Linked DNA regions of Saccharomyces cerevisiae S288C. Changing the gene in region 3 together with the main gene of any one other region gives a genetic interaction. Each region holds a gene or a part of one and is shown on either strand. Other genes may lie near its edges. The genes, in order: MOT3, VHS1, CDC11 and NAP1.

Region 1 (3,797 bases), on a different chromosome or scaffold from region 3:
ATAGTAGGGTAAAGGAGGAAAGTCTGTGGCTCGTAAAAAAGGCAAAAGAAAAAAAAAAAAGAAAAAAGGTGCTATATCAGCGAAGTAAAGATCCAGAATTCCCCTACTAGTGAAGTGGGATTGTAGGTCACCAGGAGAAGAGCAATAACAACTAAAATATACTAGTTTTCAATAATGGCTTTAAGTTTAGGACAGTTCATCAATGTGGGTGGTATGGTGAAGGATTTGAAAAGTTTCAACTTTAGCGTATATGGTAGATGGTTTGGATATATCAACATAATCTTGTGTATTGCACTCGGGATAGCGAATCTGTTCCACGTTAGTGGGGTGATAGCTTTTGGTATCATTAGTATAATCCAAGGGTTAGTGATCCTATTCATTGAAATACCATTTTTGTTGAAAATCTGTCCCCTTAGCGATAATTTCATTGAATTCATCAAGAGATTTGAAACAAATGGATGGAGATGTCTTTTCTATCTAGCAATGGCGATAATCCAGTATATTTCCATTGCAGTGATGGCTACGAGTCTAATTGTGGTAGCTGTCGGGCTAACGATATCGTCAATCAGTTATGCGGTAGCATATACTAAACACCAAGAGTTCCAGAATACGAACATTATCAAAAATCCTACAGATGACGATTTCCCTCACGAGGCCGTTGTTAGAGAGATGTTGTAATCAGTTCCGTACCATACATAAACTATATGTATATAATGTATATATGCATAATTACTTTCTAAATTTGTGATTATTACTATTATCTTGATTGTTAAATGAGTGGGAAGGGATATTTTGTGTGTCTATAAAGTCTATCTATTTGTTGTGACTAACAATAAGGTTATTCAAAACACGTTTAACGTCGTCCTTATTCAGTACACCATCATTGATTAAAGTCTTGATGTTTGTATCGTAACCGTTTCCATCTTCATTTTCGGGAGCTGTTGCTGCTGCCGCCGCGGCACCGGCACCGCCACTGCCGCTAGCGCTATTGCTGTTATTATTATTATTATTGTCGTTGTTATTATTAGAGGAGGAAGAATTGTTGTAGTTAAAGATGATGTTGTTTTTCTTGAGTTCGTCTAATAAATAATTTGTATGCTTGAGTTTCATATGCTGTAAAAGATTATCTTTTCTCTTCTGCCTGCTTAAGCACCAAGGGCATAGAAAATGTCTTTGTTGCGAGTGTGACAATAGGTGCCTTTTCAACCATGATTTTCTTTTGAAAGACTTCTCACAAAATTGGCATTGATGGATATATTTATGGTCTGATGATGGGGCAGGAACCAAGTTCGAGGCCACAGGGTTCGAAGAAGGCACCGGCGCAGGGGGATGGTTAGGTGCTGTCGTAGGACGTGGTTGCGGCATAGTGTTTATTTTCCAACCAGGAGGTAGATGCAGAGGTTGTGCCGGGTTAATATTGAGATTCAAATTTGGAGAAGGGTTTTGTTGTAGTTGGAATTGAAATTGATCCGTTATTATCGTTGGATGGTGCTGAGGAGCGTTGTTTGTATTTACAGCACCACCATTGTTGAGGTTGTTGTGTGTATTACTATGATGGTGATGGTGATGGGGTGGACCGGGGGCCGGGGCTGGGGCTGAGTGAGAAGAGTTGTTGCTGCCATTGTTAGCGGCGTTATTACCATTGTTATTGCTGTTAACTGCTGAATAGTAATGGCTTATGTATGAAGCAGGATTGAACATATATTGTTGATCCTGTTGCGGTATTGGCATATTCGCAGTGGGGAAGGAGTAATAAGCAGCCGCTGCAGCATTTGAGTTCATATTTGCGGCCGCAGTAAACTGGTTTGGGTGAATATTATTGTTATTATTGTTGTTATTATTATTATTATTGTTATTATTGCTAGTACTGTTGTTTGCGACAGTGTAATCAGAAGCAGAAATATTGCTGTTGTTGCTGTTGTTGCTGTTGTTATGGACAATCGGCGACGCAGACATATTGTTACCAGCCGTCACATTATTGTTGTTACTGTTATTACTTGTATACTGATAGTAAGGGTATATATACTGCTGCTGATGTAAGGGCATTGGAAGTTCTCTTGCCCCAGAGTTCACCATAACGTCGTCCTTGTTAGAGGAAACAGTAGTCGTGTTGAAAGGCTGTGACGCCAGCGAATCGCTGCCGATATTGTTAGTGTTCGACACATTTTGTAATATCGTGTGCTGCTGCTGTTGATGCTGATGCTGATGCTGTTGTTGTTGATGCTGTTGTTGTTGATGCTGTTGTCGCTGTTGCTGCTGCTGTTGCAGGTGATGGTCCGCATTCATTGCTCAAATATGATATGTCCCTTTACTATTTGCCTACTGTTGCCTATTAGTTTTCCTTCTGTTAAATCTTTTCTTGTACCTGTTCCTTCTTGAGGAATTGTTTTGTTCAAGTTTTCTTCCAAAAAAAATTCCTTTTTTTTCTTTTTTTTTTTGATTGCTACAAGGCCTTAATTCCTATTATTTGTTTCTATTTTTTCTCTCTTTTTTCGTAATTCTTCTTTAACTTTACATCAAAAGAGAGACAAAGTTTAGTAAATCCAGACGGAGTAGTAGTATAAATACTATCCAGCGCAGATCATGACAGGATGATGCGCCTTGGTAGGATAAAAAAAAACAACAGCGGAGGCTACAGCACATCTTTTGAGGAAAAAAAAGAAGAAAATCAAGAAGAAAAACGAAAAAACCGGCAATAAACACCGTTATCGCCACTACTCCTTGCCGTGCGCAGTTATCGGAAGGCGCCGAAGGCGGAGAGCAGGGAGCGTTGTTCGGGTCTCCTCAGTCGGAGTCAAGGATTCGAGTCGCGCCGCCGCGTACGTAGTTTTACTTTTAATTTTTTTTTTATCGCGCGTTGTCCCTGTCGGCTTTCACGGCATGTGAAGGCAATATACGTAATAAAGCGGATCGCAGGGCACGACTACACGTCCCCCACCATGTCGCGTGTGACGAATTGTGGGTGATGCTGGTGCGGGTGATCCCGGAGCGCGGTAGAACCCAAGCGCCTCATATAGTCGCCGGGCCCGAGTGTTATCACTGAATACGGTGAGTGCTACACCGAAGAAATTGTCGCACATGCGGCGGGTGTGTCGAGCTACGCCATCGCACAGTGCATGCTCCAGTAGCCGCCGACCGATTCCATGCCCGCGGTGCGCGCTAGCTACATGTACTTCGTAAAGGTATATCACGGGCACGCTAACCTCGTGTAAAGCGTCACCTTCGACGAGACCCGTCTCCTCTGTAAGCATGAATGAAGTAAATGCACCTAGCACGCCGTTGTCCCAGTAACAGACATACACAAGGCCGGCGCTTTTCATCTCTGCGAGTTTGTTTGCCTTCCATGGTTTCCTGTTGCCGTACATAATGCGCGAGGCCCGGCGATACTTGGCGCCCAGGTGCTTGTCTATCAATTGCACACAGGCGTCCAGCACTTGGTCGCCGCGAGATTTGTGCAGCTTGTAGTTTATACACTTGAGGCTGTCAACGCTGTCAATACTGTCAGTGTCATCTTCGGGGATGTAGATAATCTCCCTTTCTAAAATAGCGGTGGTGAAGTTACCGTTTCCATCTGTATCCTTGTGCTCGATGGATTCAGGAAATTTTTCCACGCATAAGTTTAAGAAATGTTGGAACATTGGCGCCATGGCGACCCTCCTTCTTTCTGTTAGGTGCTCCTTCGATGTTCGTATACAGTTGTAAGTGTTCTCACTATATACCGAAGAACGCATCTCAGTGGAAAGAAAAAGAAAAAAGAAAAAGAGCTAAGAAAAAAATCTTTTAATGGCGCGCGCGCA
Region 2 (8,406 bases), on a different chromosome or scaffold from region 3:
CTTATAAAATTGGCTGCCTACTGATGGAAAACGGAGCCAAATTGAGCGAGGCAGCGCTAGCATTTGAAGCTGCTGTTAAAGAAAAACCGGACCATGTGGATGCATGGCTAAGATTGGGTCTAGTACAAACCCAGAATGAAAAAGAGTTGAACGGCATAAGCGCCCTCGAAGAATGTTTAAAGTTAGACCCAAAGAATCTGGAGGCAATGAAAACTTTAGCGATAAGTTATATAAACGAAGGTTATGATATGAGCGCCTTCACAATGCTGGATAAATGGGCAGAAACTAAGTACCCGGAAATTTGGTCAAGGATCAAGCAACAAGATGACAAATTTCAAAAAGAGAAAGGGTTTACCCATATTGATATGAACGCTCATATCACAAAGCAATTTTTGCAACTAGCAAACAATTTAAGCACAATAGATCCTGAAATACAACTATGCTTGGGTCTCTTATTTTACACGAAAGATGATTTTGACAAAACCATAGATTGCTTTGAAAGTGCGTTGAGGGTGAATCCTAATGACGAACTCATGTGGAATAGATTAGGGGCTTCATTGGCCAATTCCAATAGATCAGAGGAAGCAATCCAAGCCTATCATAGGGCACTACAACTAAAACCTTCTTTTGTTAGAGCTCGCTATAATCTGGCGGTATCATCCATGAATATAGGCTGTTTCAAAGAAGCAGCAGGCTACTTATTAAGTGTTCTAAGTATGCATGAAGTGAACACTAATAATAAAAAAGGAGACGTTGGATCTCTCTTGAATACGTACAATGATACTGTTATAGAGACTTTGAAGAGAGTTTTTATAGCGATGAATAGAGATGATTTACTTCAAGAAGTGAAGCCAGGCATGGACCTGAAAAGATTTAAAGGAGAATTTTCGTTTTGATATGGTTCTCCGCAATTTTATGTTCTCGCATCACTGCCCAAATTCATTAGCATTAGCAGTACAAGCTATCCTATATATAAGGCAATAAAAAATCTTATAAATACTATCAGCAAGATTTCAACCTTGGAAAACATGCATTCAAAGGTCATAATTGCTGCTCTATTTACAGTCGTCCATAATGACATTTCTCTTTGATTATTTTCTTGTTTTTTCGCTCTTCTCAAGTGGATGTTACATAACAAACAAAACAGAAAAAATTGTTTAAATATAAAGTTTAAAAGTTATCTTTGATTCCGCACCTGAATTTTTGGATTGAAGGCCAAAGGAGGTTTATCAGGGAGAGAAAAGCTCTCTATTTATTTTTATAAGGAATAATTGTGCATGTACAACTATACAATATGTCTAGTGTACCTTATAATTCCCAACTTCCTATATCCAACCATCTAGAGTACGATGAAGATGAAAAGAAGAGCAGAGGCTCAAAACTAGGCCTGAAATATAAAATGATATACTGGAGGAAAACTTTATGCAGTTCGCTAGCGAGATGGAGAAAGCTAATACTATTAATATCTTTAGCTTTGTTTTTATTCATATGGATAAGCGATTCCACCATAAGCAGAAATCCATCTACCACAAGTTTTCAAGGCCAAAATAGTAACGATAATAAGTTGAGTAATACTGGTTCTAGCATCAACTCCAAAAGATATGTACCACCATATTCTAAGAGATCAAGATGGTCGTTTTGGAATCAAGATCCTAGGATTGTCATTATATTAGCGGCAAACGAAGGTGGTGGTGTATTGAGGTGGAAAAATGAGCAAGAATGGGCTATCGAAGGCATATCAATAGAAAATAAGAAGGCCTATGCGAAGAGACATGGATATGCGTTGACTATCAAGGATTTGACAACGTCCAAAAGATACTCTCACGAATACAGAGAGGGTTGGCAAAAAGTAGATATATTGAGACAGACGTTCAGGGAGTTTCCTAATGCAGAATGGTTCTGGTGGTTGGACCTGGATACTATGATAATGGAGCCTTCTAAATCATTAGAAGAACATATTTTCGACAGATTGGAAACTCTGGCTGACAGAGAATTGAAAAGTTTTAATCCCCTAAACCTAAGAGACGACATACCCTATGTCGATTATTCAGAGGAAATGGAGTTTCTAATAACACAAGATTGTGGAGGCTTCAATTTGGGCTCATTTCTGATAAAAAATAGCGAATGGTCTAAGCTGCTTCTAGATATGTGGTGGGACCCCGTTCTGTATGAACAAAAACATATGGTTTGGGAACATAGAGAACAAGATGCGTTAGAGGCATTATATGAAAACGAACCGTGGATTCGTTCGAGAATAGGATTTTTGCCCTTAAGAACGATCAATGCATTCCCACCGGGAGCATGCTCTGAATACAGTGGTGACTCAAGATACTTTTACAGTGAGAAAGACCATGATTTTGTTGTGAATATGGCCGGATGCAATTTTGGCAGAGATTGCTGGGGCGAGATGCAGTACTACACCACTTTAATGGAAAAACTGAATAGGAAATGGTACACGAGATTTTTCTTCCCATAAAATGGAAGTTATCAATATTGTAAAGAGAAGCATTTACAAGCTTTTATTTTTCTTTTTAATTTCCACTACTGGTTCTGCTTTAAAATGTTGTTTTATAATTTATGTACATTTAGGCCTATAGAAGATTCTTTCAATAATATGCTACACATTCTTTTATTTTTCCATCATATGTTGGAGTTTATGCCTCCTCGGCAGGAGTTGGGCGGTGCGAAGAGAAGAAAAAGAGTGAAACTAAAAAAAGGAATCTGCCTTTGCATAAGTTCAAAAGTGCAATTTTAGTGTTGGATTTAAACGGGAAAAATTGAAATGGCCATCGAAACAATACTTGTAATAAACAAATCAGGCGGACTAATCTATCAGCGGAATTTTACCAACGACGAACAGAAATTGAACAGCAATGAATACTTAATTCTTGCTAGTACACTGCACGGTGTATTCGCCATCGCGAGCCAGCTGACTCCGAAGGCATTACAGCTAACTCAACAAACGAACATCGAAAATACCATCCCATATATACCTTACGTGGGCATGTCCAGCAATAGGAGCGATACAAGAAATGGAGGTGGCAATAACAACAAACACACTAATAATGAAAAACTGGGCAGTTTTAAAGGAGATGATTTTTTCAAAGAACCATTTACGAACTGGAACAAGAGCGGATTGAGACAACTATGCACGGATCAGTTCACGATGTTCATATATCAGACCCTAACCGGCCTGAAGTTTGTCGCTATCAGCTCCAGCGTCATGCCCCAGAGACAGCCAACTATAGCCACCACCGACAAGCCTGACCGACCCAAGAGTACATCCAATTTGGCCATCCAAATAGCCGACAACTTCCTAAGGAAGGTTTACTGTTTGTATAGTGACTACGTCATGAAAGACCCATCTTACTCAATGGAAATGCCTATAAGATCTAACCTGTTCGACGAAAAAGTCAAAAAAATGGTAGAAAACCTACAATAGACGCACGCGCCATCGGAAGATAAACGCATTCACACCAAGAAAATAAATACTACGTACTTCTAGAACTAAGAAGAAGTTGCCGCTCTCCGTCTCCTCCTTCATAAATAGGGATAGCTTTTACTACTACGTACGAAAAAAGACCACACTGCGACGGATCCTCTGCATCCCAACACCAGCGATAGAAAATGCGCCGCCTATATCGTCATCTTGCTTCCTTTTTCTTACTCCCTTCCTGCCCTGGAAACACCATACAATCCATCACATCATATCCTGCCAATGCACTATTACGCAGCTTTCGGCACGTGAGTACGGAAACACCAGTTCGGAACCGGGTACACAATAGGGATAGTCAAAGCTGTCCATTTTTTCCGCTGATGGATGACTGATACCAAAGTGTAACCCAAAAGGGGTAGTCGATCCTACTTTTACCAGTTACGTTAAAGGGACCAAAACGTGGGGAAGGGATGCCGCCACCACCACCGCCACTACCCCCGCCAACATGGCCTAACTTAGCAGTCCTCGCTTGTGTATCTAGGTCCGCGTCCGCTAATTCGCGCGGCTTGCCACTTAACCCCGTCCAGTTAATTTGCCAAGCAGCGGCCGCACGTTGGAACGTTTTCGCCGATTTATTTATTATTATTTATACATGTTGACGTTGGTGCCCTTTTGTTTATACTGGAGCCTAAAACGTACCTCAATTAAATTTAGTGTGCCATATTATAGTGCTATTAAACCTTTATTTTTATTTTTAATTTTAAAACTGCTTTGGTTCTCTCCCTCCCTTACCGTTGCCACCTTAAGACTCACTGATATTTATTCATACTTACAAGTGCTATAAGAAAAGACTTGATTTATTAGCTTTACAGCGTTTTTACATTTGTGTCACTGCTATTATATTTTTGTTTACCTCTTTTTGTTGCTGGTGTTGGCGCTACCATTGTTTTTTTGTTTTATGAGTTACGTTTACAAAAGTTCTTAACATTTACTGTACGATAATATACTAAGGTGAAATACTAAAGTAAAATAAAATAAGAGAAAGAAAAAAAAAAAAAAAAGAAAAAAGTAATGATGATGTTCCATAATTGCAGAATTAATAACTACTTAATAACTTCTCAAATTGGCGAAGGCGCGTACGGTCTGGTTTACCGTGCCTTAGATATTCGTACCGATAGACAATACGCTATCAAAGCGGTTGTTCAAAGTTACGGTGTTAGCAAGGAGGCTGATATGGGCAATGATAAAATACACAAAAATAGCGTGAAATTGCAAAAGAAGCTCGCTAAACTGTTCAAGGAATCGAAAAACGTTGTCAGGGTGCCCTCTATAGATCTAGAATCAATTGAGAATATGTCAGAAGAAGATTTTAAAAAGCTGCCCCATTATAAAGAGATTTCGCTACACCTAAGAGTCCACCATCATAAGAACATTGTCACCATACATGAGGTGCTACAATCTGCAGTCTGCACGTTCATTGTCATGGATTATTACCCAACAGACCTATTCACGTCTATTGTAGATAACAGACATTTTGTCACTAATGGACTGCTAGTAAAAAAGGTTTTTCTACAGATCTGTTCTGCTCTTAATTATTGCCATGAGCACGGCATCTACCACTGTGACATCAAGCCTGAAAACTTGCTACTGGATACAGAAGATAACGTTTTCCTATGCGATTTTGGTCTATCCACTACTTCCACATATATAAAGCCAAATGTTTGCATTGGTAGCTCGTATTATATGCCCCCTGAAAGAATCTCATTTGATGGGAGAGTTTCCAGCTCTAAAAGTGGGGGACATAAGTTGGGTAAGGTTTGTCCCTCATGTAATGGCGATTTGTGGTCATTAGGTATCATCCTTATCAATTTGACATGCATCAGAAATCCCTGGCTGAAGGCTGACAAAACCGAGGATAATACCTACTATTATTTCACTAAGGATCCCAATATACTAAAGCAAATCCTACCGCTTTCCGATGACTTTTACTCATTATTATCTAAGATTTTACAAGTGAATCCGAAGAATAGAATGAGCTTGCAAGAGTTGATGAAAGAAGTTAGTTCTATTACAAGCTTCACCAATGAAGGCCCGTTATCAAAAGTGCCGCCTCTTTCCAAGTCTGTTTATGAAAAGTTCGTTAGCCCCGTCGATAACACGAATGAGAATTTGTCTCCAAAATCCTACGTGTACATGCACGATAGTAAAGCTGCCAAGAATTTATCTTATACATCTTCAAGTGAGGAAGAAGATGGAATCAAAGAAGGGATAGACGATGATAATGGCAGTCGCAGTGGCAGTTTCGGAACGCTAGACACAGACACTGGATTGCATTCTTCGTTCACAAGCACTTCTTGCGAGTCCGATAACGAATGTTCTAAGATTTCCAACAAATTTTCCTTGTTCGAAAAAAAATTCAACGAACTTCGCATGAGTTCCTCTTCTTTAACTAACTAACCCCCTCCTTTTTGGCACAAAAGTGTACTACACATCTGTTTTAAGCCCACAATTGATAGACCTTCTCTTGATGATCATCTGTTTTCCCGAAAATATTACTTGCCAAAGCAAGTTGTAGTTATATTCACACTTCCGTTATGACCCCCTCATCCGTTTAATGTTATTTGTTTTTATGGTATTCCCTTTATTCATTTTTTTTCTTGCTTTTTTTTGTTGATCCCTGTAACCCCTTTTTTTTTTTTGGAAGTTGCTATTATTATTCATTCACATTTGTTCTGTCTTTGTTAATTTTCCAGGTCACCGTATTTAATTTCTATATAACTGTTTCTAATATTTACTTCGTTTTATCCAAGCGTTATTTACTCAATATTCAAAACTTTACTTTTTACCACCTGTATAACATCTTTTTCAATTTGATAAAACGTTTTGAAATCTAAGGGAACAATGTCACAGTCAGTTTCGTCGTTGATGTCTGGTAACTCCAGATCCCTGAATTGAGACTCCATCATATCAGCTTTCATGAAATGACCCTTCCTTGTTTTGAGCCTTTTCAGAACTTCTATTTTACTTGCATACAAAAAGATAAAATGGAACTCCGATTCAGGGCATGTGTGCCTAATCAAATCTCTGTATTTCTTCTTCAAGCTCGAGCAAGCAACAATTGACAAATGCTCCTTAGTGCTTGCTGCAGCTTTTGTAGATTCTACGGCAACTTTTTTCAACCAGTCCCAACGGTCGTCGTCATTTAATGGAATCCCTCTTGTCATCTTTTCTACGTTGGCAGGCGGGTGTAAATCATCACCTTCGATGAATTTCAAATCCGGGTATATATCTTTAAATTCATGGATTAGTTCACCTGCAATGGTTGATTTTCCTGTACCTGCAGTACCTGCCAATACAATAACCTTAAATTTCCCCATAGTTTTGTGTTTCTCTGTCATCAACTGCGTTGTCCATCCATACGCTTACTGAGACACTATGAAAGCCTGTTTAGTCTTCGGAAAGCTATTTATTGCTTGCTACTTGAAAACCTTTTGATTATCGATATTTTTTAACGGGACCTTATATAATTATTGCTTGGAAACTAACGGTGTTATAATTTTTGACAAACTAATTAGCGACGTAATGAAAGCAGAAAAACCGCAAGAATATGAGAAAGGGAAAATATCAAAGAAAACAAAATATATTCCTTATATAACACCATCTTTTGTACATAAATGAATTGGCAAGCACATATTGTGCATGCATGCAAGGGGCAGAATCTTAATACTAAGTAATTTAATTATGCAAACATAACCCCGTATTGAGGCCTTCCGCCGCATTTAACGACCAAATCTATGAGTTTTAAATCAGACACCCGCCTTAACAGGTCCCATATAGTGCTATCAGATAAAAGTTCGTTTTCTGTCAATGATGGATTGTAATAATATTTCAGGATAAATTTCTCTATGAGCTGTAATCTTGATCTATTCTGCAAAAAAAACTCAAAGTTCAGACTCCCTAGTGAATCAGCATACGTGAAATATAATAAAAATATTACAGTCGTAAGGGGTTCAATAGACGCTAGTTTTTGCACTGTAGATCCAGAGACGTATAGGATTAAATCTATTGATTCAAATAGAGAAACAAAGGTAAACTTAGGGCTTAGGTCAGTTCCTTGCATATCAATACCTTGAAAAAACCATTCTATAAAAGGGGATATCACATCATATGGATTCTTCAAAGTAAAATGATTACCTAGAGACTTCACACATTCCCTACGTGTTAAAAAAATATGCATATTGTTGTAAAAGTTTTTAGGGAAGTCTTCTTTCGATGTATCTTCAGTGTTCATTGAACACAAGTCTAGCTCTTTAGATGTATCAAAATCGCCATTCTGCATATCTTGATAGTGCTTTCTGGGAAGAAAATGAGAAATATTTTTCAACAGGATAGGATGATGATCTAGTAGTAGTCTAAAAAAAGTTTCATGCTCAAATAATGTAGGGATCACAATATTTCTTGAATAAGCTTTTATATTACTTACGCCAAACTCCAGGGGATCGAAAAGATATTTTTCCCACATGATCTTCGATAATAATGAAAAAGATGGCTTCAAGCAACTATAGAAGAACCTGTTCAAGGTGACCATCGACGGTTCACCCTTTGTGAAAACGAAAATATGTTGAATAATCTCTACAGGTAAATCTTGCAAAGTTAGCTTTTGATGATGCCTAAGTTTCTTCGCAGGAAGCCTGATAGTCCTTTGATCTTCCGATATTGGCCTCTTGGATGAAACCCGGGTCTCTAAGAGATGCACATGGTGCTGCAAGTTTATCGAAGACGATGCATACCGATGCAAAGGAAGTGCATGTTTCTTTCTCTTATCATGACGGCTAGAATATCCTGTCAAAATATAACCCATGGCCACTTATTCTAAAAATACACTGCGTGAAAAAAGCACTGCTTACTTTAACAACATTAGTCCTCTTTAAATATATTTCATTACTCATCGCAAACTGAACAATTCTTGA
Region 3 (3,886 bases):
AAGAGGGACGACCAACTAAACGTCAATCTAAGGAATGATCTGAATATTATGAGTTGGACGGGTTCTGGGTTGTGGACTGACACTATTTTCACGTATTTCAATGACTTTATGAGAAGTGGTGTCAGGGAGAAGGTTACATGGAAATTATTCCATAACCTAAATCAACCAAAATTGCTAAGTGATGTTCTGGTCTTTCCAAAATTCTCCTTTAACTGTCCAAACCAAATCGATAATGACGATCCACACAAGAAATTCTATTTCATTACTCATTTGGCATCACAATTTTGGAAAAATACTCCAAAGGTGGAGCAGAAATAAGTACTTCTACGCAGATATAATAAGGAACTTTTTTGTTAATTTTTTTTTGCTGATCGATATTAATACTTTTTAAGAATGAAGAAAAAAAAAAAATAATATACCAGATGTATTTACTTATATACAACACTCACTCTTTATATATATAGAGAAAGAAGAAATAAGTGAGGAAGCCAAAAGCGGACTCATTCTTCCTGTTTGATTTTCGCCTCTTTTTCCAACCTGGCTTCAATTTCTCTTAATTCCTTTTCTCTTTGCAACAGTTCTTGTCTTTTCAACAGCAGTTCTTGCTGAACTCTCTCCTCAAATGCCTTTAGTCGCTCTTCTTCTAACCGTATTTGCTCCTCACGTGTCATGTAGGTTTCGTTATTTTCGCCAGTGCTTTGCCCGTGCATATCGGATGCTGGGTTGAGAACATCGTTATTAATATTATTACTTTGCTTGAAGGGATTTGTGTTTCTCCTTGTTGTGGTGGACGATGACGACGAACCATTCAATTTTGTCAGATTTGGACGTATGGATTCTGCCGCGACAGATTCACCTGATAATGCCTCGGTTCTATATCTTTCATATAATATCTCATGTGTGTAGTTTTTCAAGTCATGTAAATGAGAGATCAATAACGCATTCCTTAAGATAACAAAATCAGAGATCGATGAATCTTCCACGTCCAGTATGCCCCATGGATACTTTCTGCCACGAATTGTCCCAACATCGCCGCCCATTTCGTAAACTTCATTGGATCCAATAATAGCAAAAGGTAGAAGTGTACGTAGGTACATATTGGTTTCGTAATCTTCGTCTGATATTTCATCTTCATCGAAAGGGAAATTATAAATTGGCAAGTTCCATCTGTCGATATCCTCCATGATCAATTTTTTATTCAGTTTCAGTTCATCTCTTGTCAAGGAATCTGATTTGCTGATCACAGGGATGATGTTAACTAAGGATCCCAACTGTCTGATGAATTCCACATCAATCTCTTTTAAACCGTGGCCAGTTGGGTTGATTAAGTAAAGACAACAATGAACTCTGCCGTCCTTAAATCTTGGGTTTCTTCTCACACGACTTTCTTCCAATAAGATTTCATCATATTGGTGGCGAATGTAGTCGGAAATGATTTCGAAAGATGGAGAATTGTCGAGAGAATCACCGAATCCCGGAGTATCGATGATATTAAGTTGAATCTTGACACCTTCATCATCTTCTAATTCGACCGTCTCCTCTCTCAATTGTAAGTCTATTTCTGTGGACGTATCTGTGGGTAACAAGATTGTCGTCGAAGTGTCTACAACTTGCTGACCGCACAAAGTATTTATAAAAGTCGATCTACCAGATCCGGACTGGCCCACGATCATCACAGTGAAGGTTATACCTCTTTTCAAATGCTTTCTTTTTCTTAATGCAGAAGATGCGTCAATTATTCCGGACATGGCTGGTGGTTAGCAACTTTAGGCCTTGTGATGATTGACTTTCTAAACGGCTCCAGATCGGGTCGCCAATACGTGGTGTCTACCTATTTTACTTTTCGATCAAATACTTTTTTGTTTATTTTTCTTTATGTTAGAAGGCGGAAAAATAAAGAATACTGGCGATCCTGCATGGTCGGGTAACGACCCACGAGCATTGTGTTGTGTAAATATAGCCATATTTAAGCTATATTTATCTGTATAACATATACGTGTCCGTATGTGCCCGACCAAATATGTTACTGCGATGAAATGGATTGAGAACGATGTTTAAATGTTATGTTCCATGTTGTGTTTTCCACCAAAAAACCGTGAAGGACAATTCAATGAGCAAAGGGTTTAACGGAGCTATAACCTGCTTTTGTAGATGAAAAAATAGAAAATTCAAATATATATATATATATATATTTATAATAGCATGTTAATTTACAGATATTTGGACTTTTGCAAAGTCAGTAAATACATGGAATAAGAATACTAGTGATTGAATAGAGTACATTTAAACAGATTTATTTATTTCTTTCCTTTGTTGACTCTTTCTTAGAATATGAAAAAAAAAAGGGGCTCCGGTGGTGATGAGGAGAGAATATATATGCATGTATCAATCAAGACCATTTCTAATGACCACCACCACCAATTTCAATGGTTGGTGGGCAACCCAAAGTGCTCTTTAAAGAACCATAAATACCAAATTGCAAGGAGGTCAAGGTACCAACCATGACCAAACGAGTAGGCAACCCAGCAAAGGAACCGAAAAATCCTAACTGTTTGGCCAACTGAGCCAACAAACCGACTGTGGATTGGCCAGGAGCCTTCTTAGTCTTGTTGACCTTGGACAACAGAGTGTCTGCTGGCTGGGAAACAATGGCAGCGGCCAAACCAGCAGTCAAACCGGAAAGCAAATTCAACAAAGTAGTGGAAGTAGAGGACAATTTTTCTTTTGGACCGGCGAACCCGTAGTAGAACTCGGAGGCACGTTCAAAGACCAAGAATTTAGCAATGTTGTAAGGAATTTGCTTGAACAAAATTGGAGTGAACCCACTGTAGAAAGAGCCGATACCTTCTTCTTTCAAAATTCTGGAAAACCCTCCGACGAGTCCATTAGCGAACTGTGGTTGGGAGACCAATCTGATTCTAGTGGCTTCTAGGGGACACAAGGCAATGTCTGCCAAGAATTCGGCCATGGCAGCAGAACCCATGTAAACAGAGTTCTTGTAGCGAGAGGCGGTATCGTAACCCAAGTTGTCAATGAAGAACTTCTTGAACACTTCGTAACCACCGAACTTGAAGGCACCTTGGATAGAGTAACCCAACAAAGTAGGACCAAACCCGGTCAACAACGCACCAGCACCTTCTCCGGCGATGATTTGCTTGAAAGAGCCGACCATACCCTTGTTGTACACGGTAGGTTCCAGTTGGATTCTCGTCTTAACGACATCGATCGGGACCATACTGGAGTGAGTCGACCCGCACCCTATGGCGCCGGCTAGGGCGAATTTCATGTAGTCAGAGACAGAGTACTGTGGAATAGCAGGAGCAGCAGACACAGACATGGTGAGATGAGACTTTTTGATCTTTGTAGTTCTTCTTCTTGCAGATCACTCTGTTCTTTGCGATGGTTCTTGTAGATAAAAAGATCGGGAGGATGGATCGCACTTAAAAATCTTCTCGAAACGGGCCGCGGCCGGGCATGGGACCCGTTCTCGACGCTGATTGGCTAACGATGGTTGGGCAGAGTCTCAGCTGCTGCTTGCTCACATTCGACAAAAGACTAGAGGAAAGCAGTACCATGCTGCGATACTGTTGCATCGCAGCATTCCGCTGTCCAAAAACAATACCTGTTGTATTGTTTGAGGCTGGCAGGCGCTTGGGTAGAAACAACACCCGATACTGGTGACAGGGCTATCTATAAATATTAAAACTTGACTCCGCAATTCGTCGTAAACTGCCTTAACCATCGTAATGGACGCCGTGCAAATGCTTCGACTTTTCCCAGTAGTCAGGCATTGCGCCAGACACTTGTGCTGCTTAATTGTCGTAATGAAAACATATCGGTAGCGGCCTTTTTTTATTTTTTTTCTCTATGGGCTGACGCTGTCACT
Region 4 (7,929 bases), on a different chromosome or scaffold from region 3:
ATGGTGATCAGTACCATACAGAGACTAGCCCCTTTACAAGAGGAAGATCACATGTAACGCGTGTGCCCAACCATGATGCTAGTTTATCTATACCGTTTTTGGACAAGATCAACCAGTTTTGGCATGTAGGCGGTGCCACGCAAATTAGGAATATTCAGTCGATCAAATTGACTCAGGACCGTGATCAAGATAAACATGGATTAGTATTGTCCAATGGAATTGGCGACAACACCATCAATGACTTTGAGATTGTTTTCACTTTCAGAATTTCTCACGACCCCACTACACAACTCACTGGTGATGGAATGTGTTTTGCCATTACGCCCGAAAATGGGTTTCTCACACAGAATTTACAGTCGTCGTATGCGAAAAAGCAATACATGATGAATTCTCAGGGCGTCATAGCCGATAATACAGATCTGATGGGCTTCCCGAAAAATCTGCCTGGCCTATTTATTGTCTTGGATACGTATCGCAACCAAGGCCACGACCATAAGGAGGTACCCTTTATGGATGTGTTTATAAATGTGGCCCCAGAAAGCGATTGGTACGATATAAATAGTGATGGTGAACTCAGTACATCGCTGCGGCTTAATTCAAGAGGCCACATAAAACTCAAGAAAAATGCCCTGTGGAATCGAGTCACGAAACTAAGAATAATATATTTGGAAAGTATAAGCTTCCTGAAGATCGACGTGCAGTACGCAAAAGAGGGAAACTACTGGATTGAGTTATTTCAAACAACCGAAAATCTGTACTTGCCGAAAAACATGCACACGGGGCAAAGATACATTGGCTGTAGCGCATTAAATGGCCAATTAACGGAGACAGTGGAGCTGCTGGACGTATCCACTAGCGAATTCCATTGGAACGACATGGATGCGTCCATTGAGGACACCTATGATTACGCAAAGGAAGCTGAGCTATTCCTGGAGCAGGAATTTGGCGAGGTCCTTGACAGGGAACCCGATGAGTTCACCAAATGGAAAATGATCAAAGCTCAACCAAACATCAAGACTGGGTCACAGTCAGCTGAACAGAAAACTTCAAACAATCCTCACTCTCGGTTGTTCAAGGTCGTGCTGACCATATGGCATTATAGCGAGATTTTGCTATTGATCATGGGCATTTATCTTTTTTCTGCTTGCATAAGAGTTTTCCAAAGAAGGTTCAAAAAAATTAGATCCAGAAGAAAAAGGGCAGGCTCGCATTCTGTGGGGCTATTGCCCATGTAGCATTGCATAGGCACGCACATACATACATACACAAATAATACAATATAGGACGTTCATCTTAGGTAGCCAATTCACGGTCTTCTTGTGGTAGTGTTACTTGCGTTCGACGGCGGGAGGGTTCTTGATCGATCCAATATACTCTGTGGTGGGATGGCCAGAACGCTAGAATTCGTCTCAAACGTCCTGTTAGAGAATATTGTGGGCCTCGTAGACTGTATTGAATGAATGTCCGAGAAAGTAGACGACTTCACTGACGAGGAACAAAACGATACTAGCGGAATAACACTTGCGTTGTCGTTTTGTTGTTGCTGCTGTTGCTGCTGCTGCTGTCTTACTTTGCCTGTTGGTGGTTCATCCCATGCCACTCGACGGTCTCCTTCGTCATCGGATTCGCTCGAATGCAACGAATTTCGATCAACCAATGGTCGCAACGACGAACTGATGGTTGTTCCATCCGGATCCAACTCAGCACGCTTAACTCTTGTGGGGCCAGCCCTAGTGCCGCGTCTTGGTTTACTGCTCGAGACCGATGCGTTAGTTGTGGTAGTGGTGTTTATTATTTTTTTAACCCACACTGAAAGTTTGTTTCTTCTTCCCTGGGATGTATGATGACTGTTTGACATGCTAGGACTTTCCCTTGGCACCATGTATATTCACTTTTATTGTCTCTTGATCGAGCTATAACCAAATTTTTTTTTTTTTTTTTTTTTTTCGTTTTTATAATTTTTTCTTTGGTATTCAATTGTATATAGTGCTCAAACAGCAACGTACATAATAGCTAGCAAACAATAGATGAAATAATAGAATAATAACAAATAACTATATAAGAGTGGCAGGAAAAAAAATCAGGCGCACGATTAGCGCAAAACCAAATTACTAATTGGTCGACACAGCCGCGGGCTTAGAATTGGTTTGGTCTTCTCTTGAGGCCTTTAGCTTCTCAATGGTGGCATTGCCCAAGTCCAACCCGGTGGATACAATGGCTTTAGGGACGCTTTCAGATTTACTTAGATTGTTTTCATAGACAGTGGTGAAGCGTTGGTAGGTTTCGTTAAGCTTAGTCTTTGTTGGGTCGATGTACACAGACTGCAACTTGTCAGTTGTGGGCTTCACTATGGCGTCGTACTTTTCTTTAGCCAGGTCCTTGGTTGGGTCGATATAGTTCGACTTGACCTTGGACTGGATCTCCTGCGACATACCTCTGGTCGTTGAAGACAACTCTGCCACGTGGGGCAAAGAAGAAGCATCAGTGACCTTGTTCTCCTCACCGGAAGAGCCGATCTCCTTCGATGCGGTAGAACCTTGCAAGTGCAATGGCTTGATCAGGAACTCCCTCAACAGAGTATTAGAAATGTTGGCGACGTAGTCGACGAAGAACCACACCAGCCAGATCCCTGGCGTGTTGGAATGTGATTTCCAATTGTACAGCAAGCCGTCGACACCCTCCTTGAACACCAAGAGGTTAACTAACTCGTCCAACTTGAAGGCCCCTTCCTTCCCAGCAGCAACAACTTGCTTCACCAGACGAGGAGAGCTGGACGATTCGGAAACCCACTGGTTCACAGATCCCAAAACAACGAGGTTGAAGGAAATCAATCTCTCCACAGGTGGCAGAGATTCCGCATATTTAATAAACTTGGATAAAGCTGGGTATCTTTGCAGATGCGACCAGGTTGCTTGTGGCAATTCCACAGATGGTTTAGAAGAAGAAATAGATGATTCAGACATAATTACGCTACGGTTCTGGAGAGTGAGTGATGGTTAATGATTACCGATACATTCCGTTATCTTTCCTTTTATAACCCTTGCTGCTATATTATTAAATCCGAAAGAATACGATCATCCCCCACGGCGGAGAAAATCTAGGCTATTATTATCATTATTATTATTATTATTGTCGTCTTAGTTACATGCGCTTTAACATATATTTCAGCTTACACACTTACATGTATATACATATATATATCTATATATGTATGTATACATATGTATATAAATATATGAATACGGTTATGACCACTCTTGCGAAGTGCGTTGGGATTATGACTGCTTGCATTCAGGAGCCTGTTCCGGCCTGCCAGCAAAATCGTCTTGCTCTTCGGCAGATTCCCCGTCGTCATCCTCCAAGCCGTGATCATCATCTTCTTCTTCGTCTTCGTCCTCGTCCGCTTCTTCTTCGTCCTCCTCGAACTCGAATTCCAAGGCTGCGCCGGTAAACCAGTCCACGGCTCTAGGAATTAGCTTGTCCTTAAGTTGTTCCCCGATGGAGTAGTCTAAAGCTAGACGTTCCTCGAGGTCTTCCTCCAACTCCTCGTCTTGGTCTTCGTTTTGGATCTTGGGAGGGTCGAAGAAGTTGAAAAAGGATTCTATGGGAGTGATCTTCTCGATGGTCCTCACCTGCTTGGTGGTCTTGTTTCTCTGCTTGCGCATTTCTAGGTCCACAGTGACGTTGTGGGCGTTGTCCTTCCAACTGATCTCGCAGCCTTCTGCGTGGTCGTAGATAAAGTCCCCGGAGTAACCGAGCTCCTTCTGGTAGAAGTAGGTCTTGCACAGAATGTCGTTGGTGAAGAATGGGTTGGCGGAAGAATCAAATCTGAACAACAGCTTGAAACCGGGTCTACCATCCGTCAAGTATTCCAGACCAATATCTTGCAGGTACTCCAGAACTTCCGCATCGCGGTCAGTGATCGTGTCGCAAACGATGGGCAAGTTCTCTAATGCGGTTAGCCAGAATGAGGGAATTCCCTTCACCTGTTCCTCCTCGGAATCATTTTGGGCCTTCTCTTCTTCGTCCACCAACAACTCCGTCTCATTGAGTGACTCCACAATCTCTTGGCCCTTTGCGATCTGTTCCGGCTTGGGTTGCTCTTGTCCTGAAATGATCCTGGACCGCTGCTCCCAAATGGGCTTGTACTTCTGCAGAAACTTGTTCTCTAGCTCAAACATCTCCACCTGAAATTCCTTTTCAACTTCGAATAGCTCGCTTTGTAAAGTCTTCAAGCTCAGCAGCTTTTCCTTAACGTTCTTGGGAAGACCCCCCACATACCCGCTGTCCTGGCCCACCAGCGAGCCAAGTCTGTCCTGGATGGACTGTAACAACAGGGGTTGGTTAGCCAAGATGTCCTCCTCGTTGATGGTGCCGATCTTGTCATCCTGCTCCTGTGCCTGGGCCCTAACTGGGTTGCCGTTTTTCAAATAGCTCGGATTCAGAACCGATGCTGGGGTATTGTGAGGCGTAGGGGCGTTGTCGATTTGCATCGACGACTTGGGTTTCGTTCTGATAGGGTCTGACATGATCTTGCGCTTTGCTCTTGGTCCCACTGGGCTCACTAAATCCTCCTAATCTACCATCAAACTGCCATTTTTGATCCCAAACGCTGCTATTTAAAAGGAAAAATTTTCCCAATTACGCGGGTAATACAAAAAAGATATAGCCCATTGTTATAAAAATATGTATGTGTTCAATATAGTGGTATATAGGTGTTATTTGCGCTGAATGATGTACTTGTCAATGTCTGCGGGCTCATTTCCCACCAACTTGTTTTCCCAGTCGACCCAAAGCGCCTCCTTTGGATTCCAAAGTCCCCTCTGGACACACTTCTGCAGGTCCATCCCGAACGTCGGGTCTGTGTGCTTGTATTTGAGCACTGAATCCAGCTTTGGAATCTGCCTTTGCAACGAAACTGGGCCTTGCGGGCACGAAGTTCTCATGTATTGCAGCTGGTCCCACGTGGGAAAGCGGTTGGCGATTTCCACGTCGAATCGATGAGAGACGTCTCCCTTCAGCAACTGCAGGCATTTCTGCGACTTGATATTGGACGCGATGTCATTGGTAAACAACGAGATGGTACGTGGCTGTCTCTGCAATGTTTTCCAAAACGACATTTATTGCGTTTGCGTTTGCGATCTCCCGGTCTGTTATTTTCATTTGCACTTTTCTTAACGTTCTCTTTTGGTTTTATATGCCCCTTTCCAAGCTGGGTGGATACCCCGTCCATTGAGTGCCCGTGCCCAATCAAGCTAAAGCCAGACTAAAAAGAGGAAGAGTTCAAGAACCATCAATGCCTCCAGCACAATTTCACAACAGCTTGACACTTTGGCAACGGTTATATCAGAGCATAGCGACGGGATTAGAGAGATGCAAGACGACGGAAGAAAGAAGGGAGTGCCCGGCATGCGCTGAAAGCGCCCTGTAGTACAAGCGTACCGCCGTTGAATAGGCCATGGTACATCACACGATGATTGATAATTTGATGCAAGCTGCCATGCTCAGATGGTTGTTTCCCGTTTCTCTCTTTCACTTTTGATCTCCTGCGAAGAATAGGATGAGATGTGAATTTTCGTTTCTAATCCCCTCGGCCGTGCGGCTGAAAAAGAGAAATGATATTGGAATAACTAGGTTTCAGATGATGAGAAAAGAGGCTATTTTGTACTATTCACCGACGATAAGAGGCTGTAAGAACCACTCATGCCAACAGCTAAGAGGACGTCATCCAGGGCTTCGTTGGCACTGCCCTTCCAGTTACGGTTGGTGCACAAGAAATCATGGGGCCATCGGCTAAGAGACTTCATTTCCGGGTTCTTAAAATCATGCAGACCCATTGCTAAATACGTTTTCCCCAACTTCATCGTGGTGCACTATATCTACCTGATCACGCTGTCGATTATCGGGTCCATTCTGTTATATCCGTGCAAGAACACGGCGTTCATCGATGTGCTATTTCTGGCTGCTGGAGCGTCTACACAGGGCGGGCTGGCCACCAAGAGCACTAACGATTTCAACCTGTACCAGCAGATAGTGGTGTACGTCATTACATTGCTGTCCACGCCTATACTTATTCATGGGTTTTTGGCCTTTGTCAGGCTGTATTGGTTTGAAAGGTACTTCGACAACATTAGGGATATCTCCAAACAGAATTTTAAACTAAGAAGGACCATGACGTTGCAACAAAGGGAACTATCGGGCAGCAGTGGCAATGCCGCTCGAAGTAGGAGTTTCAAGGACAACCTGTTCCGTGGGAAGTTTGTTTCCAGAGAAGACCCACGACAATCCGCTTCAGATGTGCCGATGGACTCTCCTGACACGTCCGCATTGTCCTCAATCTCACCGTTGAATGTTTCCTCCTCTAAGGAGGAATCCAGTGACACGCAAAGCTCGCCTCCAAACTTCTCAAGTAAGCGCCAACCCTCAGACGTTGACCCAAGAGACATTTACAAATCGATAATGATGCTACAAAAACAACAAGAGAAGAGCAACGCAAACTCCACGGATTCTTTTTCGAGCGAGACCAATGGACCCGCTTTCATTGTGCAGGAACGTCATGAGAGAAGAGCCCCCCACTGCTCACTGAAACGCCATTCTGTCCTGCCATCTTCTCAGGAATTGAACAAGCTAGCCCAGACGAAAAGTTTCCAGAAATTGCTTGGCTTGCGGAGAGATGAAGGTGACCATGACTACTTTGACGGTGCTCCTCACAAATATATGGTCACCAAGAAGAAAAAAATATCTAGAACGCAATCATGTAACATCCCAACGTATACTGCTTCACCGAGTCCTAAAACCTCAGGCCAAGTAGTTGAAAATCATAGAAACTTGGCCAAGTCGGCGCCTTCATCTTTTGTTGATGAGGAGATGAGCTTTTCACCGCAAGAGTCTTTGAATTTACAGTTCCAAGCGCACCCGCCCAAACCAAAACGACGTGAAGGTGATATAGGCCACCCCTTCACCAGAACAATGAGCACCAACTATCTATCGTGGCAGCCAACCTTTGGCAGAAACTCCGTCTTCATTGGACTCACAAAGCAACAAAAGGAGGAACTCGGCGGTGTCGAATATCGTGCTTTGAGATTGCTGTGCTGCATTCTCATGGTATACTACATCGGATTCAACATTTTGGCGTTTGTGACCATCGTTCCATGGGCCTGTACGAGGCACCACTACTCAGAGATTATTAGACGAAATGGAGTTTCTCCAACCTGGTGGGGGTTTTTCACTGCAATGAGTGCATTCAGCAACTTGGGTCTGTCTTTGACCGCTGATTCAATGGTTTCCTTTGATACTGCGCCGTATCCGCTGATTTTCATGATGTTCTTCATCATCATAGGCAATACAGGCTTCCCAATTATGTTACGATTTATCATTTGGATCATGTTCAAGACCTCGAGAGACCTATCTCAGTTTAAGGAAAGTCTTGGGTTTCTCTTGGATCATCCGCGCAGGTGTTTTACGTTGCTGTTCCCCAGCGGCCCCACATGGTGGCTGTTTACAACTTTAGTCGTCTTAAACGCTACGGATTGGATTCTTTTCATAATTCTGGATTTCAACTCCGCTGTAGTAAGGCAGGTTGCTAAAGGTTATCGAGCTCTCATGGGCCTCTTCCAGTCTGTATGCACAAGAACTGCTGGATTCAACGTTGTTGACTTAAGTAAATTACACCCGTCCATTCAGGTGTCTTATATGCTAATGATGTACGTTTCGGTCCTGCCGCTGGCGATTTCCATTAGAAGAACGAATGTTTATGAGGAGCAATCGTTGGGACTATACGATAGTGGACAAGATGACGAAAATATCACCCACGAAGACGATATAAAGGAAACAGACCATGATGGCGAATCCGAAGAGCGAGACACTGTATCTACAAAGTCCAAGCCGAAGAAACAGTCCCCAAAATCGTTTGTTGGTGCTCATTTGAGG

Evidence for each region.
Region 1: mutations in CDC11 (region 3) and MOT3 together harm fitness more than expected from each alone (negative genetic interaction), as found in Saccharomyces cerevisiae (3 studies listed by BioGRID).
Region 2: mutations in CDC11 (region 3) and VHS1 together harm fitness more than expected from each alone (negative genetic interaction), as found in Saccharomyces cerevisiae (3 studies listed by BioGRID).
Region 4: mutations in CDC11 (region 3) and NAP1 together harm fitness more than expected from each alone (negative genetic interaction), as found in Saccharomyces cerevisiae (3 studies listed by BioGRID).

The regions. Positions count from the first base shown.
Region 1 is NC_001145.3:407,643-411,439, reverse strand, and holds MOT3 (Mot3p), read right to left. Parts: upstream 2,287-3,797; coding exon 814-2,286; downstream 1-813. Other genes in the region: TVP18 (Tvp18p), read left to right, coding at 175-678; NAT4 (N-terminal L-serine N(alpha)-acetyltransferase NatD), read right to left, coding at 2,874-3,731. UniProt on the Saccharomyces cerevisiae protein: Transcription factor that affects the expression of a large set of genes. Recognizes and binds to the consensus sequence 5'-[CAT]AGG[TC]A-3' in the promoter region. Plays a major role in the repression of a specific subset of hypoxic genes (e.g.
Region 2 is NC_001136.10:951,506-959,911, forward strand, and holds VHS1 (putative serine/threonine protein kinase VHS1), read left to right. Parts: upstream 1-4,507; coding exon 4,508-5,893; downstream 5,894-8,406. Other genes in the region: PEX5 (Pex5p), read left to right, coding at 1-896; MNN10 (alpha-1,6-mannosyltransferase), read left to right, coding at 1,295-2,476; TRAPP subunit TRS23, read left to right, coding at 2,783-3,442; YDR246W-A (uncharacterized protein), read left to right, coding at 3,628-3,828; YDR248C (gluconokinase), read right to left, coding at 6,253-6,834; YDR249C (uncharacterized protein), read right to left, coding at 7,176-8,297. UniProt on the Saccharomyces cerevisiae protein: Probable serine/threonine protein kinase involved in the G1-S transition.
Region 3 is NC_001142.9:574,854-578,739, forward strand, and holds CDC11 (septin CDC11), read right to left. Parts: upstream 1,749-3,886; coding exon 501-1,748; downstream 1-500. Other genes in the region: HOC1 (alpha-1,6-mannosyltransferase), read left to right, coding at 1-318; MIR1 (Mir1p), read right to left, coding at 2,402-3,337. UniProt on the Saccharomyces cerevisiae protein: Septins are GTPases involved in cytokinesis that assemble early in the cell cycle as a patch at the incipient bud site and form a ring approximate 15 minutes before bud emergence, which transforms into an hour-glass shaped collar of cortical filaments that spans both sides of the mother-bud neck.
Region 4 is NC_001143.9:522,112-530,040, forward strand, and holds NAP1 (histone chaperone NAP1), read right to left. Parts: upstream 4,530-7,929; coding exon 3,276-4,529; downstream 1-3,275. Other genes in the region: UIP5 (Uip5p), read left to right, coding at 1-1,235; YKR045C (uncharacterized protein), read right to left, coding at 1,307-1,858; PLN1 (Pln1p), read right to left, coding at 2,112-2,963; FMP46 (putative redox protein), read right to left, coding at 4,719-5,120; TRK2 (Trk2p), read left to right, coding at 5,704-7,929. UniProt on the Saccharomyces cerevisiae protein: Acidic protein, which assembles histones into an octamer (in vitro). Involved in the regulation of the localization and the function of the septins during mitosis. Involved in the function of B-type cyclins.